Linked DNA regions of Alligator mississippiensis. The protein of the gene in region 1 interacts with the protein of each later gene in a pairwise test. Links are inferred from orthologs where the notes say so. Each region holds a gene or a part of one and is shown in the gene's direction. Other genes may lie near its edges.

Evidence for each region. The genes of interacting proteins can lie anywhere in the genome.
Region 2: the proteins of TFCP2 (region 1) and carbonic anhydrase 1 interact in binary tests that used the Homo sapiens proteins (3 or more experiments, as listed by UniProt). The two-hybrid records come from large-scale screens. The link is inferred for Alligator mississippiensis from reciprocal best matches to the Homo sapiens genes TFCP2 and CA1.

What each region holds. Positions count from the first base shown.
Region 1 is NC_081838.1:10,255,505-10,259,253, forward strand, and holds the start of TFCP2 (alpha-globin transcription factor CP2), read left to right. Parts: upstream 1-1,190; 5' UTR 1,191-1,386; coding exon 1,387-1,508; intron 1,509-3,749.
Region 2 is NC_081826.1:50,076,086-50,079,834, forward strand, and holds the start of carbonic anhydrase 1, read left to right. Parts: upstream 1-742; coding exon 743-823; intron 824-3,749. UniProt on the Homo sapiens protein: Catalyzes the reversible hydration of carbon dioxide. Can hydrate cyanamide to urea.

The sequences.
Region 1 (3,749 bases):
GGTGATCTGAAAACTATTTCCATCTGTTTCCACGACTGTCTTCGGCTTTCAGGGACCCGATGCCGGGCGCCGCGTGCCCCGCAGCGGCCGGCGCTGCCGAAGCATCCCGCGCGCACCCAGACACCTGCTGCGCCCCCCAGGCCAGACTGGACCCCCCACCCCCAGGTCGGGCTGGGACTGCAGAGCAGGGTTCGCCACCAGATGGCATCCTGGTCCACATCCTTTTTGCAAGGTGGTGAGAAAAATGACCCCCCCCCCCCCCCAAAAAAAAAAAAAAAAAAAAATTCAGAGCTTGCTAAATTTAGGAGCCCGGATGATTTTCGAGGCTGGCGGGAAGGAGGGTTGCACGGACCGGTGCTCTCCAGGCAGGAGGGAGGCAGAGATCAGGCCTGTTTTTTTAATCCCCAAATCATCAGGGTTTAATTCTGTAAGGGGGGGGGAGCTTTTTGGGTGCTGGGAGACAGGCAGCCACAAAGGGAGGGATGCGCACTGCACACGGGCAGCATCTGCACGTGCACAGGTTGGCAATGCCCTCCCGCTGCGGCCAGGCGCGTGAAGGGTTAACACCCCGGGGCGGGGCCGGACTCGAACTCGCGGCTCCAAGGGAGGGGGGAGGAGGCCGAACCTGGTCCCCACCACGCCGAGTCCCGTCACCCCGCCGGCCCCGCCCCGCCCCGCGCTCGTAGCCAATCGCGGCGCGGCTCCCCCGGGCCGCGGCCCCCAGAGGAGCGGCGATTGGCCGGCGCCGCGTGCGCGTCGGGCGGCCAGGGGCGTCGCCATTGGCCGCGGGCGGAAGACGGGGGCGGGGCGTGTTCCCGGCCGGGCTGGCGTGGGGGGTCCGCGACGCTGCCGCCTCCATATTGCGGGGGCCGCCGGGGGCGCCGAGCTGCGCCCGGGGCCTCGCGGGGAACGGGCGCTCCGGGGGCCGGGCTTGTGGTAGGAAGGGAATTGGGCCCTGGGGTGCGAGGGGTTAATTTCCATGGGAGGAAAGACTGGGCCGTGGGGTGTGAGGGGTTAACTTCCCTAGGAGGGGGGGTGTGAGGGGTTAAATTTCCTGGGAGGAAAGACTGGGCCTCAGGGTGCGAGGGGTTAACGTCCCCTGAGGGTGACGGGGTGTGAGGGGTTAAAATCCGTGGGGGTGGGGGGTGCCGGGGGGCTAATATCCCTTGCAGGGGCGGGGCGGGGCGGGGCGGGAGCAAGGCTGGGGTGCTGGGAGCCCCGCTTGTTGGGCAGGACAGCGCCCCCGGAACGCCCTCAGGGGTGGTGGTAGCGGTGGGGCCGGGGTCCCCCCCCCCCCGGGTCACGTGCCTTGGGACTAGGGGGGCGTCTGCGGGGTGGCCGGCCCCGTGGGGGCTCGCTGTGCGCTGACCCCCCGGAGCGGCCAGGATGGCGTGGGCCCTGAAGCTGCCGCTGGCGGACGAGGTGATCGAGTCGGGGCTGGTGCAGGATTTCGATGCCAGCCTCTCGGGCATCGGGCAGGAGCTGGGCGCCGGGGCCTACAGCATGAGGTAGGGAGACCGCCCCGCGGCGCTGCGAAGGGAGCCCCGTTGGGGACTGGCGCGTGGCGGGGCGTCGTGGGAGGGCGCGGGGCGCGTCCGTGGGTGCCAGTGACTCGTGGCTGAGCTGCGTGGGCGCGAGCGCCGTATCCCGTTGCCGCGTGGTAGGTGACTCCTTCTCCTCTGCCTGGTGCCCGGCGTTTATTGGCACCCCTCGAGGGCAGTTGGACCTGCTCCTCCCTCCTCCCAAGCGAAAGGAAAGGGAGGTCAATTTAGGATACTCCAGCGCTGCACAGACCTAGAACTGGGACCCGGCGCCGGGAAGCCCTGCGCTGCCCTCGGCACGAGGCTGGTGTGGGAGACTCCAGGGTTTTTAACAACCTGGGTGAGTAATTTGTCCGAAGGCAAAGTGGTGTAACGGTGCCGCCTGCTTCGGCGTTGCGTAAACCTGAGAGCCGGGAACTGGACTCCGTCTGTCTCTCCTGGTGCTGCCTCTGGAAGCAGCAGGGATTTGGCCACAGCTGGAGACAGGTGACGGAGCTGGGCTGAGGGGACGTGGAGGCTCCTTAATTCCCAGGCATCCGCTGGGCTGCTGATCCCATGCAGAGCGGCTGATGCCACATCAACGAGTCCACCTGGAAGCGTCATCCTGCCCTAATGAGTTGCCCCTGGGAGAGGGGGAAGTGAAGAAGCCCCTTTTGAGTGCTGTGCTATGATTTGAATGCAGACCTTAGCTTCAGACCTGGCCTCCCCGCGCTGTGGGTTAGGGAGGAGTTCGAGTCGTTGCCGAAGGGTGATAAAGTGCGTAATTCGTGCTTGTTTTGTGGTCACCAGTGTTTGGGGCCTTTGTGTGATAGGTGCCGTACTGGGAGAGGTGTGCGTCAAAAGAGTTGTATGTGTTGCTGACCCATCCAGGGCATGCTCTCCTCTGGTCCCAGCGGCACAGGCTTTCAGCACTGGAGACCCTTGGTTTGGTGCAGGATGGTGACAGTCACGCTTGTAGTCCGAGAAGGTGCGGGGCATAGGCAGAGTCAGGGGGAGCGATAAATAGCCAGTAGGTGCGATTTTTATGGCTCGTACGTATTGATAATTCCCTTCCACCACTACCCCAACTAATAGAAAGTGCCACCTGTTTCCCTCCAGCTTGCTTGTTTCCTGTGGATCTTCTGGCTTCCAGGAAAGGGATCAAGGAGACCAGGTAGCAGGTCAGGGAAGCAGCACTTGCCCTGCAAAGCGTGTGGGGATCTACTTGAGAAGAGGGGGTGAGAGCTCAGAGTCGCCAGGCGTGAGGGGGAATGCAGAAGGAGGGCCGCATGAGACTGACTTTGGCTTGGGAAGGAGCATGTGGCAGTGAGGGGGAATAGAGAGGAAGCAGGGCCTTGCAGGTAGGGGGAATCGGCTGCTTGAACTATACCTTGCGTTGGAATGGCGTGGGGAGCCAGCGGGGGAGTTGTGTTGAAGGGAAGATCCAGTCGGTTTGCACTTTGGTTTGCTCACAACAGTTCCTGCCCAGCTGAGGTGAAATCAGAATAAAACTTGCTTGAAATAAAGGGAGGGGGAAGTCCGAGATGACTCCTTGATTACACACCCGAGTGATGAGAAGGCTCTGGAAGCAGTGGTGGGGGCAGGATCCGGAGTTCAGCCACAGAAAGCTGGTGCTGACATAGAGATGTCTGAGATATGGGCCAAGATGAGATGGGTCAGGGCTGGAGGAGCAGATCTGAGTCATTCATGCTAAGATGGCAGCGGAGGCATGGGTGGAGGAGACAGCCCTAACCTTTTTTTGCCCTCACAGTCACGTAATTCCATGCAACTCCATTCATGCAGTTATTGCTGTTCACGTGTCCGTCGTTCACGGAGAATTTACCGCAACTTGGCCGCTCCGTGTTACCTCCCTGCCCCCAGCCTTGTCCCATGGTGAGGCCTAAACTAGTTGTCCCCAAATAAAACAGGGCCACATTACTGGGTTTAGCACTTGCTCACCGTGAGATAATTGTGAGCACGGGGGCAGCTGAGTGTGGTTAAACCCCCAGTTTTGTGTAAGTGAGGGGCACAAGAGGTAAGCGTGGGCTCTGGGGGATTAAGGGCAGATGAGACTGGAGGGGCAGGGGGGCATTCCCCAGTGAGACCCTCCTCTGGACAAGCTGTTGGGAGCCTTCCCGGTCTTGACTGGGCTGTAGTGATAACCATCCCCAGAGGGAAAGTCTGTGGTGGATATCGCTTTTTCCCACCATGACATTTCCCGGGGGTGGA
Region 2 (3,749 bases), on another chromosome or scaffold:
GGCTGATTTGCAGAGAAGACCTGGCCATACTACCTGATGCCAGCAACTAGAAGCATAAAAGTTAGTATGATAGCTGTAAAACTTTCAAGGATCCACTGAGAATAGGGTGATCTTTCCATGGTCAACCAGACTAGCATTAAGGCTAGTTTACATTGAAGATATAATGCTATAAAAATGCAAAATGAGCATACACATTCTTACATAGTAATACATAAATAATCCACCATTATTATTCCTTACTAATTAAAAAATTACACCTCATTTTATTTAAACAGCATGTGAGAGAAGCAAAAACAGAGTAGAAGTTTATTACAAAGAAAGAAATTGTGAAAATTTCAGTACAGGCAACCCCCACTTAGCATTAATTGGTTCCTGAAAAACTGAGCGTTAAGTGAAATGAGCATGAAGAGAAACCAAAAGTATTTGACAACCCAAGATGGCGACCACAATTGTTCTTAATGACCCAAAATGGTGACCAAGAGCGTTATAATGAAACTCGCTGAGCGCTAAGTGAAATCAGGTATAAATTTCAAATGAGCGTTATAGTGAAATAGCGCTAAGTGAAACAGCATTAAGCAGGGGTTGCCTTTATACTATATGCAGTGTACCTGGCAGTACAAGAAAAATCTGTCATACTGTGTTTTTGATTGAAGAATTTAATATACTAGGTGGCATGACACTGAAAAAGCCAGACTGTCATGTGCATTTCACTTCACTGAGATGCATGCCAGATATGGACGGTATGGTAGGCATGGATGGAAACCCCATCAACAGCCAGATCTATATCGAAGATCTGCCAAAGCAAAAAGAGCAGGATATGGAGGTAAGTTTTGCTGCATTTGTAACACAGATAATTATCTAGGTTTTCTTGATTTGATCAAAACAGAATGAAACACACTTAGCCAAAAATTAGGTGTACCTTTTATATGCTCTTTCATTTCAGTATCTAATTTATCACTTACATTATTTACTGTTTACTCTGTGAAAGGTAAAGTAACATGAGGACAAAAATGAGTTCATTTAGCATCAGCAGAGATAAAAGAGAGTTTTCCTTATGGAAATTTGTTAAAATGAACATACAATAAAGAAAGCATCACTATAAATGCTTCTGTTAAAACAGTTCAGCCTTATACAGCACACATATTTTCTGGTTTTTTTAAGACACAGCTTTCAGATTTGATCCAAAAAAGTGCATAATCTCTCAAAGAAGGGGACATGTGTAGTTTTCTTATAAGAATTTTCCTGCATGATGTACATGCTGAAATCCAAATCTCCATTCAAGAATGAAAATCTGAGCTGGGCAATCTGGTTTCATGTACTCTGGCAGTCTCTCTTGGAATAATCCAGGAATGAAAATCTGACCTAAGCTGTTTGCCTTTATAAACTCTGGACGTGTCTACTCTGAAATTCCAGCAGATTGGCAACTCTTCTCTACCAGTGCACAGCTTTATGTCTGACCTTGATTTCAAATGCTAGAAGCTGACAAGAATTCTCAATACCTGAGAACAGTTCTAACCAAGCACAAGATATACTTAGATGAACCCAGGAAGATTAAGAATATATAAAGCCAGCACACTGACTACATTACCCCTGCAGAAACATATTTACAGCATATTTGCTGATGCTACAGATTAGAAACATTTGCCTTTCCCAAAAGTTTGAATGAAGAGAAAGTAAATTAACTCAAGGTAGGTCAGACACAGGGGATACCACAACAAAACCAAAATGAGACACATTTTGTGATGGACAACACTAAGCTCTGTTCCAGCTGAAGTCTTGAGGGGAGGCTTTTCCTACACAGTCTCTAGGCATTTTATAGACAACAGAATTATGATGAAAGGTCAAGGGTGATCCCCTAAACTGTTCTAGGAGAGATGCTCCTTACACGGCTTCTCAGTAAAACAATTGTGAACTCTCATCTGTCTCCAAGAGTTAGGCTGCAACAGTGGCGTCAGCTCAGAACCATTCATAATGGTAAGCACCTACAAGTATTGTTTGAAAGAACTGAAAAGAGTTCACTCCTTGTATGAGGAGGATGAGGAGGTGGTAGTGGCATACTACAAAGAACAGGAAACTTTGGTTCAATTTCCTCATCAGCCTAAGAAGATTCAAATGCATATCTTCTTAGAACATGCCTTATTTATTATTAGGTTATGTGCTAAATTGAGTGAGAACATGCTCCACCTCTATATAGACACTTTACTGTGCAGTAGACTAATCTACTGCACAGTAAAGCATCACCATTTACACTTGTGCAGCAGTTACTGTACAGTAAATTAGTCTACTGTATGGTTGGCTACTACCTGTAGATACAGGTTGTAGATTAACTGTGCAGTAGCTAGTGTGCAGTAGTGCACATGTAGACAAATGACCAGGAGCAAGTTGCTTCTGGTCAGGCCAGGCAGCAGGGGGCAGGGGAACTGTCCCCTCCCTTGATCAGCTGTCTCCCAGCCCTGTGCTCCAATCAGCAGATTGGGGCATAGGGCTGGGAAGCAACTGCTTGGAGGAATGACAGTTGCTGAACCCCACACCCTGATCGTCTAACAGCTCCCCTCATCTCCAGAACCCGGCCAGCCCCTGGTGCACTGTGACAGCCTGGGGTGGGCACCCAGGAGAGCCTGGAGCTCCCTCTGGCTGCTGTAGAGAGGCAGAGCAGAGCAGGAGTAGCCCTGCACTGAGCTGCTCCCATTGGGAGCAAACTTGCTCCCAATGGGTGCACATGTAAATGCGCTTCCGAGGAAAGCTTACTGCGCCTTACTTTAAGACATTACTTCAAGGTGCAGTAAGCTTACAGTGCATTAATGGCATGTGTAGATGTGCCCACAGTGAAGCAAGATTCACAGTGCCTTGAGGAGAGCAAAAGGGAGCATGATTCTGAAGACAGCATGACTACGTAAATGAGTAGTTAGGCAATTTGTGTGGGGGGAGGGTTGGTCTCTGCCGCTACACTGTTCATGTATTTTAAATGAAACAGTTTCATAGTAGCTAGGGTCAGGAGGGACCTGAACAGATCATGTAGCCTGACCCCCTGCCACAGGCAGGAATGAATGCTGGGTTCACAAGACCCCAGACAGGTGATCATCCAACCTCCTCTTGAATTTGCCCAAGGTAGGGGTGAGGACCACTTCCCTGGGAAGTTGGTTCCAGATTTTGGCTACCCTTACTGTAAAAAATTGCCTTCTGATCTCTAACCTAAACCTATTCTCCATCAGCTTTTTACCGTTGTTCCTTGTCACCCCAGGTGGTGCTTGGGAGAAAAGGGTTCTACCTATTTGCTGTTGATCTCCCCTGATGAGTTTGTGGGCAGCCACCAGGTCCCCCCCTCAGCCTCCTCTTGCTGAGGCTGAACAGGTTCAGATCCTTCAGTCTCTCCTCGCAGGGCCTATCCTGCTGCCCTCTCACCAAGTGGGTGGCCCTCCTCTGAACCCTCTCCAGGCTGGCCACATCCCTCTTGAAGTGCGGCGCCCAGTACTGGACGCACTACTCCAACTGTGGTCTGACCAAAGTTGCATAGAGGGGGAGTATCACCTCTCTGGACTGGCTTGAGATGCACCTTTGGATGCATGACAAGGTCTGGCTGGCCTTGCTGGCTGTGGTCTGGCATTGGCAGCTCATGTTCATCTTGGAGTCAATAATGTTTCCAAGATCCTGTTCCGCCTCTGTGCTTTCAAGAGGGGAACTCCCCAGCCTGTATGTATGCTGTGGATTCCTTCTCCCAAGGTGCAGCACCCTGCATTTGTCTACGTTGA